Linked DNA regions of Yarrowia lipolytica. Each later gene encodes a partner of the first gene's protein in a complex. Links are inferred from orthologs where the notes say so. Each region holds a gene or a part of one and is shown on either strand. Other genes may lie near its edges. The genes, in order: YALI1_D10033g, YALI1_C28063g, YALI1_D28213g and YALI1_D14276g.

Region 1 (2,890 bases):
CAGAAGAAGAAGGTGAGTCGACCTCCTCCTCCTCAGGAAATGTATCGCAAGCCCCAGCTGCCTCCCAAGATTCCTCTCGGCATGACTCGAGATGAGTACTACGTAGCCGAGCCGGAGTATGATGGCTACCAGGGCTATTAAGCCAACTCATTACACACACACACACACACACACACACACACACACACACATTACACACTCAAGTGTCTCACATAACACGTGCTTTACACGTACTCATATTTGTATAGATAATCTACAGAACTTATTGTGTGGGCCGTACAGGTAGCTACGTTCTAGTTGGTTTATATACGGGTGGCTAAAGTAGACAACGCGTTGAGTATCGTAGCAATGCGTCTGTTCTAGTATAACGAGAAGCAGTGTACCAATGCTGTAGATACTGCTTTAGCTATAGATACTGCTCTCTCTCGCTACGTCGAAAGTGAAATACTCATCTTCAATTAATAATCTATAAAACAGGGGGCGTATTTTGTAGTTTTTTGGGTCTGGTTCAGTTCAGATCCTAAAAGTTGGCCTCGTCGTCATCTCCATCATCATCATCTTCATCACCGTTATCGAAGTATCCCTCAGCATTGTAATCGTTATCATCTTCGTCATCGTAGACATCATCTTCAATCTCCTCCTCCTCAGAATCAGCTGCCTCCTGGCCCAGACGAGCCTCCAGCTCCTTGTCATCCACCATGGTCAGGGCCTGCTGGGCCTTGAGACGTGCCTCCAGCTCCACAGGCGACAGATCGGCTTCGTCCGCCTGGATCAGCGAGTTGGCAAACTTGGAAATACCCGCTCGACGACGCTTAACATCCTCTCCAGCCTCCTTCTTTGCTCCCATGGCCTCGTGAAGCTCCTGGGGGAACAGCTCCAGAATATACGGATGCTCATCTATCGACCGACCGACCTTTCGCTTCTTTCTGTACCGATCCGTGTATCGTCTGATGCCGTCATCACACGCATCGTCTACCTCGATGAGTATCCGTGACGCCTTTTTCTGTCCGTTCGGCCCCGTCTTGACCTCCACTGAGCCTGTGTACAGAGGTCCGTCTCTGACTTCAGCCTGGAACTTATAAAACTGTGCAGCCACCTCTCGCTCCGATGCGCTGGGTGGATCCTGAAGAGGCACGTTGGCCGGAGGGTATAGATCTGTGGGGACCATAGGACCAGTCTCGATTCCGAGCTGGTACATGGCTGGGCGTCTGAATGACATGCTGTGGTGTGTGATTAAAGGAAGCTGTGGTGTGGTTTAGAGCGAATCAAGTGATGATCGATCGCGTTTGTATGTTGCTGACGTGGTTGATGGTGTGTTTTTTTTTCTCTCTCTCGACTTGTTTGCCCTCTTTTGACACTCCCCAAAGTCGACCTTGCCTCAGATGGAAATAATTTTAGATTGGGAAAAAAATTGGACCTCGAAATGCATGCATGATAAGTTTAATGGTGTGAGTGCACACTGGACAGAGTGGAAGTCAAGTGGAGGGATGTGGATAGAATGGGCCATGGAAGAGGGGAAAGGGAACGGGATGGATGGATGGATGTGTTCCGAGGGCCCTTTGTAGGTAACCGACACCCCGAAAACCCCTATTGTGCCTTTCTACATGCTACATTCCTGCTTAGTCAAAATCATAACATTGCCATAGTATGTACAAGTACCTACAATACGATACTCGTGCAAAATACAACCAACACGATGTCTATACAAATATATTACTGAAATGTCAAGGGTACTGTTTTTATGGTTGGTGGAAGATGGTGTTTTTGAAGAGGTCTTACCGGGTTCTCCAGCTAGTGTAAGAGAACACGTCAGGTATCTCCTTGTATAAGAGGTCGAGTCCATTCATTTCCATTAACATCGCTCATGGACTCGATATTTACTCCTTCTTGTCGAAAATGTGGGCTTCCTCCTCGGGAACCAACAAATCGGCAATCTCCTCGTCACTCTCGTTGACCAGCTCCATCTCCTCCTGCTTGTCGATGGCAGACTGGAGCACCTTCTTCTGCTTGTTGGCTCGGGATCGAGCAGCGGTTCCCCAGCCAGATCCGGATCCAGAGGCGATACTGGAGGCCACCTTCTCATCTTCAGGTTCCTCGAGCTCGCCCTTGGCTCGGGCAGCTCGCGTCTTCTCCAGCTCTTCTCGCTCCCGCTTGATCATCTGCTTGGTCTGGTAGTTCTTCACCATTCCCATGATCCGCGGTCGCAGAAGAATGTAGCCGGCCACAATGATGAGGAACCGGATGTAGTCTGTGGTCGTGTAGTTGTTGAAAAATGTGATTTGGTTGAGCATGGTGTTGTTGGGGGACAAGTCAGGATGCGATATTTCTTTCACGATGCAGAGCGTAACCTATGTACGAAATCTAGGTTTTGGCGTTGTCCGTGTTTTTTTGCGTCGGATTTATCGGATTTACCACGAGTGTCGGACGAAATGTAGTTGGGGGTGAAGTTGCAGAAAAACAGACTGCTAATGTTGTTTTCCCGTGTCTACACTATTGATTCCACTTTTGTACAGCCCGAAATCTCCATTATTCGCAGACATAGACGGTGGATTATGGCATTCTCACCGTCTTGTTATGGACCTCTCTACAGGTACAGTACTGTAAATTAGACGTGAAACACTGCTACCAGTATCTAAACATCCTAATAACTGCTCAAGGTCAAAAGACAACATCGGAGCAACTAACTGAAACAGAGGCGACACTGGCTTCCTGACTGCCAGAAAAGAAAAGAAAACCAACACACCCTCCCTCTTATCATACTACAGGTACAAATACAACGTACTCGTACCGGTACTCGCATAGCACAACTCACCCAACTCATGCACCAGTTTTTTTCATCAACGTCGCATAAATCCGATGTGGGGTAGGGTCCACTCGATGAATGATATAG
Region 2 (2,593 bases), on another chromosome or scaffold:
GTAGCCACTGCATTGAAAGCTCATTACAAAGTACAGTACTGTAGGTGATTTTTTTTGGGGATATTACAGTAAACCTCTTTTACACCCATCCTTACCTCATTACCGGACCCTGCCCGACACTGTCCTTGGTTCTTGATAACTTTGGACACTGGAGTCACGAAGCTCTTCACAGAGCTGAAGAAAGAGGAGGTTGAGGATCTACATATGGAATAATGCTGCTGGGGGGAACATTGCGGTAAAAACTTAACCCGGTGTGATTTTTACCCTGACTTAACTGTCTTTTGCTCCACTCATGTATATGACTCTCCTTTTACCCTCGAATGAAGATGCAGAGTCTGCTGAAGCTCCTACTCCATCTTCAGGCTCACCCTTTAATGGACCCTTTCACTAATCCCACCTCGCCCCGGACCATTAACATACAATCAAATACATTATATACATAGATACATACAAGCAAGCAAGCAAACAAACAAAACGTTCCTAACCCTCCTTTCAATCACCCCGGAACATGGGCAAGGAAACAGAGGAAGAGTAATAAGTAGACGGGTTAACATCCATGTGAGGATGGGAGGTAGAGTGGTTGAGTGAAGGAGCCGATCCAGACATCATCTGCTGGATGATGGACGCCTCCTGACGCAGGTTTTCCACTCCCTTGGCCATCTTATTGATGTTGGACGAAAACTCATTCTCCATAGCCTGACGCTTGGCTTGTCGTTTTCCTCGCTCAGCCATGAGTCGCTGCAGACAGTTGTCGAGCTCCCCGCGGTACGTGAAGCCCAGCAAGATACTAGTGATTCTTCCGCTCCCTTTTTGTCGGCAGCAGCACACTTCAAATCCATCTCATTCTGCGCAGCTGAATGATGTAAATTTCTCAGAAACGGCACAGCTGAAGTACATACAGCTACCCTACTGTACGTTCGAGATGAGATGGAGAGACAGGGGGCTCGCTCTTATCGCAGCTTTTGATTGCCCTGCGGTAGCGACAGCTGAAGGAAATGTCTTGTTTGAGACCCACTGCGTAGGGGCTATTGCGTCTGAGGTCCTCGTATGAACATCCCGAGCGTCTTCAGGACGAAACATTGCACTAGCCTTTCCCCTTTAAAACAAGGAGTCTTGCGAAATCTCAGATATCCAATATTCACCTTCGCAGACATCCCATATTTACCTTCGCAGACATCCCATGTTCACCTTCTTAGCCGTTGTGCTATGAAGGTGGCCATGGGGTGACGATGAAAGTCGCATGTTGTACACAAACTCGAATAGTTTCGTCTAGTGTATCGTATCAACTTTTCTACCTCTTCGATTAACACCAATATGATCCTTGTAGCACTCAATGGTCTATCTGAAATGATATGATATCAGATCAGATGCTGTACCAGAAAGTATACTGATCAGAAGCACACTATTAACGGTCTCTCCTTTTTATTTCACACAATTCTAAACTTTATTTTATAACACTCGAACTCGCTGAATTCAGCCGCATTCACTGAAAATAGCTCGCGAAAACGAATATTTTCCAGCTCGTAACCTATATGAAATCCTCCACTCATCACAAAATGCTCTCAAACTCGTTTGATGCTCTTTCTTAAGTTCTCATTAACGTCTCAAAATCTTAACCTTCCATTCAATATACACCTCCAAATCAACAATCGTGAACGAGATATCTTTGATTACATAATCCAACGAGTAATTACGTGACCAAAAGCATGGATATCGCAAATAAATCTCACTGCGCGAAATAACTTCAATCTTGTCCTTTGCTCCACCTCTCGCACAGCTTACGCCTACCGCTCACAGTCTATGCTTAGTAACAAACCTTGTCAAAATATTTTAATTTTGTATGCAGGAATTTTCGCCTCCATCTTCAACTTTGCAACACAACATGAACAAGGAATCGTTTTCTCCTTCGCTTGATTCGCAGAACCTGTCTGCCTCCGCCTCCGGAGTGGCCAACAACAAGTCGTACGCCGTCAAGTACCTGTGTGCCAACTGTTCGTCCAAGGTGGTTCTCATCCGAGGCGATCCAGTTCGATGCAAGGAATGCGGTCATCGAGTTTTGTACAAGGAGCGGGCCAACTACACTGGTGAGTAAAGCGGGTGTGCTATAGATGCCGTGGCGACGTCGCGGTGGGTGCTACCTCCAGCGTTTGATGGTGTGATGGTGGCAAGCTGGGTCACAGTGTGTCATGAGAGAGAGAGTGAAGAGGGGATACACTGCGCGTGACACGGAGAGTGTGATGAAGGAGAAGCGTCACAGGTGGCAGTGAAGAATCGACAGGAAGAGATTGGACTCAACGATTCGTTTATGGGGTGATGGGCTTATTTGGAGATATGAAACATTACGAATCGACACAGGACAGAATATGGGCCACGGACGAATCCGTGGTTGAGGGCTGAAGGGCAGCATCATGAAAAGTGATGGAAACGTAGCTACTGGATCTGGATGTTGGTTTGATGCAGCAGATTCAACAGTTCCGTTCAGACAACAAATTCCAGTGAAGCGATACGTGGATAAGGTCGAAAAGTTGTAGGTCATCCGTGGCGACAGCAAGAGTGACCTATAATGTTTCTTCTGGACCATGGATAGTGCTCC
Region 3 (3,094 bases), about 1.8 Mb from region 1:
GAAAAGGGAATGTACAGCTTTTTCATGCCCATCTTGTCGTCAAATGCAACCACCATCTTATGGTCCATAAACTCCTTGAGTTTCTCCTGGAAATCCTTCTTGTTAGAAACCGTCAACTCGTTAAGACACTCCGTCAACACCTTGTCATAATCCACAGAAATGGACGTACTTCCTGTCAGAGCACCCACCTCGGCCTCAGGCAGCTTTCTCTTGTCAGCCACATTGTGAAACTCCTCCAGCTGACAGTAAATGAGGTTCTTGTAGAGACTTCGATGGTTCGGAGTGACCGACTCAAGTACATACTTGACACCCTTGGCACCCTGGGCCTCAGCCTTCTTACCAAGCAAAAGCGGATCGTCAAACGACGTTTCAACCGTGTAGGGAGCAAACGTGGTCACATCATGCCACACAAAATTGTACGAGGCCAGCTTGGCAGAGTCCCACATCAAAGGAGCCATAATATGATCGACAGATGCAACAAACCAGATTTGAGAAATACTCATGAGCTGAGACAGATGAGTAGACGCCTTGTCGATCCGCAACGACTCGCCATCAACATTGTGACACAAGACCACCAACGACGGCTTTGAACCAGCTTCAATATCTCGCATAGTGTCAACCACCAGTTTCACCAAGAGATCCACATCCTTGGGCAGTTTGTTTCGTACCACAAAGCCCTTTTTCGCAAAGATGTCCTCATGATTCTCGTAGAGAACGTCCACCACGCTGTTGAGCACCGACTTGAACTGGACAGACGCATTGTATCCGTTGATGACAAGAATGGGGATTTCCGAGTCCACTTTTTCGCACACAAAGTCAGTCAGTAACTCCCTCTTGCTTCCCAGACCATAAAACAGCAACGAAAACCCTTCCGAAAGCTCGAAAATCCATTGCGAGAACATTCCGCGGTAAGCATGCCGCAGCATCTTCTTCTGGTCGGCATGAAACAGCTCATTGGCCTGGTTTGTGTACTTAAAGAAGACGGAGTGGTCGATGGCAGGCGCCTTGGCCATGGTGTTGGCGTTACCTCGTCCTCGGGTCTTGTGTTGGTCAAAGTATCCCTCTGAAGAGTCCAGGAACAGAACGCGGTCTTCAGCCGCAATCAGGGCACCCACGTTGGCCAGCGACCGTTCGTCGGTGTGGAAGTCGTTGGACGAGTCGAGAATCGGAGCCCGGCTCTCTCCAATGATCCGTTCAGCCAGCTCAATTTCATCTTCGTCTTCGCTCACCAGTCCCAGAGACTGATCCAGTAGTGTTCTGTTGGCCTTTTTTCGCGCCGATTTGTCGTGGAGCGACCGTTTCACCGGTGACGGCGTTCCCGGTGCCTTTCGAGGCGACGCCGTCCTTCTCGGCGTCTGTTTTCTCGGACTCGTGGTCTTTCTTCTCTTGGGTGTGCTCACCTCGTCTTCAACCTCAAAGTCCTCATCGCTGACGTCACTGGTGTCCAGTCCGGAATACGAAACTGGTGCTTTTCTTCTGCTCATGTGATGAATGGTACAACTAGTCGGTGCGGGCGCCGTCTGGGGTTTGTCGCCTCTGCGGTATGTATGTCGTCCAGTGGTGATGCTCTAACGGTCAGATTAAAAAGGAACCGATAAACAATCTCTTGGTGAACTCGAACCCCGGTGCTGGATAAGTGTCGCCGTCTCGTCGCTCTAGTGCGCCGTATTGTATTGTAATGGTGGTGACAATCACTGATCAAAACTCAGAGGTGCATGAGAAACGCCCACCACCATTTTTATATTTTGAATTTCAGACTTTTTTATTTGGTTTTTCACACCAGCACAGACGACACAAACACAGGATGCTAACGTTTTGTCCCACTTGTACAAACATGTTGACGGTGAGTAGGACGGGGGGATATTGAGGGCGGTTGCTGAGTCAGGATTGGGCCAGGAACGACCAGATCATAGGTCGCGTGGATGAAGGCGAGATGAGACGAGACGAGAAGCGAAAGGCGAAAGGCGAAAGGCGAGGGGCGAGAGGCGAGAGAGGGTGAGGTGTCAGAAATCATTTGAAACTTCTTTATCACTAGTTATGTGCAATTCTACTCTTCTCTTACGGTTTTTTGCAGATCAATGAAGTGGCTAGTCATCGACCACACCCGAGAGAAGAGGTTGCCGAGTTCGATCTAGGTTGAGATTTGTCTAAAAGTATTTGTGTGCGCATCTACCGTCCGCTTTTCTCCTTCACCGCATCTACCATGTCCCCATCTCGTGACTGATCTCGTTGCTGATCCCGTTACACACTCCACTTAAGCATGCTGAATCACCATTGACACTCCATATACTAACTCAGCTGTCGACCAGCGGAAACGGCATGCGGTTCGAGTGCCGGACATGTCCCTACGAGTACTACTTGCAGGACGGCACCATCGTGTATGACCGAAAGGTCCTGGAAAAGAAGAAGGTGGACAGTGTTCTCGGTGGAGAGAACGCCTGGGAGAACGTCGACAAGGACCCTGGCTCGCAGTGTCCCAAGTGTTCCAACATGGGTGCTTACTTCTACATGTTGCAGATTCGGTCTGCGGATGAGCCCATGACCAAGTTTTGCAGATGTACGGCCTGTTTCCACCAGTGGAGAGAAAACTAGTGAGCTTAGACGTGCCAAACACGTTATGGGAAGGATAGAATGCATGTAATATATTTATGATTGATTGTCTGAGTGTAGAGAGTGACTGAAGACCTGGAACCGATCGATGGAGGTGTCAACAGAAGGGAAAGCCCAGCCTGCGATTATAAACAAACTCCGGGCTCGGTAACAAACACTTCACTTCTTGTCCTGTGTCCCTGAGAGTCTCCAAGTCTTCAGCAGAGGAGAAGTCGTTTGAGATTCATTCGTTAACAGAGGTTCACTCGGATGTTACTGGCCGTACTGTACATACTGTAGGGATGTTGCCAGATCTACCCAAGTTCAGTATCGTATCGGGAGAGCTAAACGCTCATTTTGCCCAAGTGGTTCGCTCCAGTGGTTCGCTCCATCATCATTTCTCTGTCAAATGACTTGGAGTCATTTCAGAACGCCTTGCTCACGCTCTGGTCAAGCCCCCAGAATACCCATGCCCAGTTTGCCGTCCAAAACCTCAAGAAAGCTG
Region 4 (3,088 bases), about 420 kb from region 1:
AATCGTACTCGTGGTCGACGACGGCGTACTTGGACGCCACGTGGGAGGGGGCCTCCTGGGCCTTGACGGGGCCGTTGGCGAAGACCTTGGCCACCACCGGGGAGGTGGAGAAGTGACGAGACTTGAGAACGGCTCGGGGGTTTTTGATAGCTCTAAGCATTTCTGTGTTAGTTGTGTTGTGGGGTTTTCTGCAGGCGTTGTGGGGTGGAGAGGTGTTTTGCGTATTCCGGTAGGTAGAGAATAGTTGTCTGGATGATTTACTGCAGAGTGGTCCGCAGTGACTGTATATAGTGGTTGTGGTATCAGAGGGTGTGTTGTGGGGATAGACTGTGAGAGCATCGGCGGTTGACAGACTGAAATTTTCAAGACAGTCTGACATTCAGAGTATCCCAGCAACTGGGTGAAAGAAGCAACACCGGTCAGGTTCGCGTGTACCTTTAAGCATTGGTTCTTGTTTCACTGAACTCGTGTCTGTACCACTTGCTCTCATTCACACCTCACATATCCACATGTCACACTGAATGTGTTGTCTAACATACCACGAGAGAACCACCAAACCATGGCACCGACAGAAGAGTGGACCATAAGAATGATGCTGCGAAGCATAGGCTCCGTTGTCATCGTCACGCCAACGCACTTGTGATAACCTCTCTCCTTCACGCTTGCCAACATGCTCGCCACGCGTACAGCCAAACAAGCTGCTGGGTGTCCCACTTCTCCTTTTGCCGAACGAAAAACCTGTTGCACTGAGAGATACCGGGCAAGACCGTCCACATCGTGGGTACGAATGGCTGCCGTCAATGTGCCTCGAAGCGCCCCGTCCTCCGCCGCGCAATTTGCTACTCACCGACTCAGATCGACTTGTATGGTCTAACCAAAAAGAGAGAGAGAAATAATCTGCGTGCGGCCAGTTGAAAGCCCACCGAGCTTAGGTAATGCGGGCCATTGGCCAATGACATGCGACCTAATACTCACCAAACAAAGTTTGGACACGTCCGGGATGAACCGGATCAAGATTCGCGGTGTTTAATTGGCGGGTTCGGCAAGACGAAGACGTGGAGAATCCGAATTAATTTATTCACATACTTTATGGGATACTTTTCCAACTCGCCAGGTGTCACAATCTTGACGGTAGCCCCACGAAACCTCTGGGGTATGACCACACCCATTCGCACCATGTCCTATTGGGCTAGGCTTAACCCCCGTAAGGTTTTCCGGAGAATTATTGTGGGGAATGACGGAGACACTTTTTAGCAGCAACCCCTAAGGAAAGGAAGTGCAATACGAGTGCCAACGCGGCGGTTGTGAGGGTTGCGGGCGTTCCTCCAGCTTACGTAATTGCTTCTTCTGCCCGTCTCACAGTACCGGTACGATCCCCGTTACAATCACAGGCTTAGAACACCTAAAATACGACTGCTGGGTGACCATGCCTCTTCAACGACTTGGGGGCGATCCTACTGTCGGGCTGTGGTTGACGTTTTTTTGTTGGTCGGTCGACATATCGGCCCGGGTTAGGGTAGTGTATAAATGGCACTAGAGCTGCTCGTATCCTCCGCCTCGTCGACGGGTGTCATGGCCAATTGCGTTGGGTTTAATTACCTTGGGAGTGGCCTGGGTTTTTTTTTTTTTTTTTTTTTTTTTTTTTTTTCTTGTGTGTTTTGTCAGTACAGTATGTGTGAATATTCGAAATTAAGGTGCTAAGGTGTCCGAATGGAGAAGAGCGGTTATCTCCGTATTTCTAGGAGGTTATTCCGCTTTGGGAATTTGTACGTTTGTCCTTATTAGGGGTGACTATCGTGGGCACTGCTGGTACCGACTCTTACTAAGCGACATTGGGAGTTGTGTAGAAAAAGTGAAGATGTGGTTAGGGATATGCAGTGCGATGCAGACCTTAAAAAATATCCAGCTACACCGTGCAACTATCATCAAGATTGTCTCTGAGTTGGGTCTCATCCATCGCAATGTTCATTCTCACGCGCTTCACAGATCTCATTCGACTCGATCCCACCAGCTTCAAAAAGCCGCTCAACGACGCTATTGTGGACGAGATTAACAACTGCTACGCTAACAAAATCATCGACGGAGTGGGTCTGTGCATCTGTGTCTATGACCTGATCACTGTCGGCGAAGGCCAGGTCATGTCCGGCGACGGTGCTGCATTTGTGAAAATCACCTTCAGAATGGTGGTTTTCCGGCCGTTTGTGGGAGAGGTACTAGAGGGCTGGATCTCCAGCTGTACCGCGGAAGGAATCAAGGTGAAGATGGAGTTCTTCGACGACATTTTTATCCCCGCACACCTGCTGTTTGAAAACTCGCAGTTTGTCGCCCGAGAACAGGCCTGGATGTGGTGTCCTGACGAGGAGCAGGAGCTGTTTTTGGATACCAACGAAAAGATCCGGTTCCGAATCGAACAAGAAAAGTTCCAGGACCTGCCTCCACTCAAGCAGGGCTACGCTGGAAGTGCTGCTCCTAACGACGAGCAGGACCCCGAGAAGCCAGGTGTTCCTCCTTACTCTCTGATTGCCAGTTGCCAGGGAGAAGGCATGGGTCTGGTGTCTTGGTGGGAGTAATCAACAGAACCATGTTCCTTCAGGTACATCTTGGTTGACGGTTGGAGGAGGATATATATATGCATTATTAGGTGTTCCGGACAGCACTCTGTATTCCGGGCACACTCTTGTGCTCCTTGGAGTATGGACACAAGGCAAACAAAAACAAACAAGCAAACGCAAAGAAAAGGACTGATTATGAAATAGGACTGCTAAGAAGCAGTGGGGTTTTATATAGATAGACAAAGTCACAAATCGCATTTTTATACAACATCAGGAATTACGTATCATCGACCTCTATCAATGTACTTGCGGCCAGTTACCTCGAGTGACGAGATGGTCAACCGCTCAAAAACGATTGAGGATAAGCATTACATACAAGTCTACGTTGTCTGTTACAGCACAAAGCGCGTCTCTCTACTCATTGGTACAAGTGCTTGTACCATTATCATAACATCATCTATTATTACCTCTATCTTCACAGACTAGTTGTACTGCATGTACTGAGAAGTACTGCTAAACTTGAGGTTACCCTTAAT

What was found.
Region 2: YALI1_D10033g (region 1) and YALI1_C28063g share a complex: the UniProt entries of both Saccharomyces cerevisiae proteins name them as parts of the RNA polymerase III (Pol III) complex. The link is inferred for Yarrowia lipolytica from reciprocal best matches to the Saccharomyces cerevisiae genes RPC31 and RPC10.
Region 3: YALI1_D10033g (region 1) and YALI1_D28213g share a complex: the UniProt entries of both Saccharomyces cerevisiae proteins name them as parts of the RNA polymerase III (Pol III) complex. The link is inferred for Yarrowia lipolytica from reciprocal best matches to the Saccharomyces cerevisiae genes RPC31 and RPC11.
Region 4: YALI1_D10033g (region 1) and YALI1_D14276g share a complex: the UniProt entries of both Saccharomyces cerevisiae proteins name them as parts of the RNA polymerase III (Pol III) complex. The link is inferred for Yarrowia lipolytica from reciprocal best matches to the Saccharomyces cerevisiae genes RPC31 and RPC25.

What each region holds. Positions count from the first base shown.
Region 1 is NC_090773.1:1,001,699-1,004,588, reverse strand, and holds YALI1_D10033g (uncharacterized protein), read right to left. Parts: upstream 1,220-2,890; coding exon 521-1,219; downstream 1-520. Other genes in the region: YALI1_D10067g (uncharacterized protein), read left to right, coding at 1-141; YALI1_D10022g (uncharacterized protein), read right to left, coding at 1,878-2,291. UniProt on the Saccharomyces cerevisiae protein: DNA-dependent RNA polymerase catalyzes the transcription of DNA into RNA using the four ribonucleoside triphosphates as substrates. Specific peripheric component of RNA polymerase III which synthesizes small RNAs, such as 5S rRNA and tRNAs.
Region 2 is NC_090772.1:2,804,472-2,807,064, forward strand, and holds YALI1_C28063g (uncharacterized protein), read left to right. Parts: upstream 1-1,840; coding exon 1,841-2,092; downstream 2,093-2,593. UniProt on the Saccharomyces cerevisiae protein: DNA-dependent RNA polymerases catalyze the transcription of DNA into RNA using the four ribonucleoside triphosphates as substrates.
Region 3 is NC_090773.1:2,820,476-2,823,569, reverse strand, and holds YALI1_D28213g (uncharacterized protein), read left to right. Parts: upstream 1-1,804; coding exon 1,805-1,843; intron 1,844-2,298; coding exon 2,299-2,592; downstream 2,593-3,094. Other genes in the region: YALI1_D28221g (uncharacterized protein), read right to left, coding at 1-1,484. UniProt on the Saccharomyces cerevisiae protein: DNA-dependent RNA polymerase catalyzes the transcription of DNA into RNA using the four ribonucleoside triphosphates as substrates. Component of RNA polymerase III which synthesizes small RNAs, such as 5S rRNA and tRNAs.
Region 4 is NC_090773.1:1,425,695-1,428,782, forward strand, and holds YALI1_D14276g (uncharacterized protein), read left to right. Parts: upstream 1-1,961; coding exon 1,962-2,570; downstream 2,571-3,088. Other genes in the region: YALI1_D14260g (uncharacterized protein), read right to left, coding at 1-379; YALI1_D14300g (uncharacterized protein), read right to left, coding at 3,035-3,088. UniProt on the Saccharomyces cerevisiae protein: DNA-dependent RNA polymerase catalyzes the transcription of DNA into RNA using the four ribonucleoside triphosphates as substrates. Specific peripheric component of RNA polymerase III which synthesizes small RNAs, such as 5S rRNA and tRNA.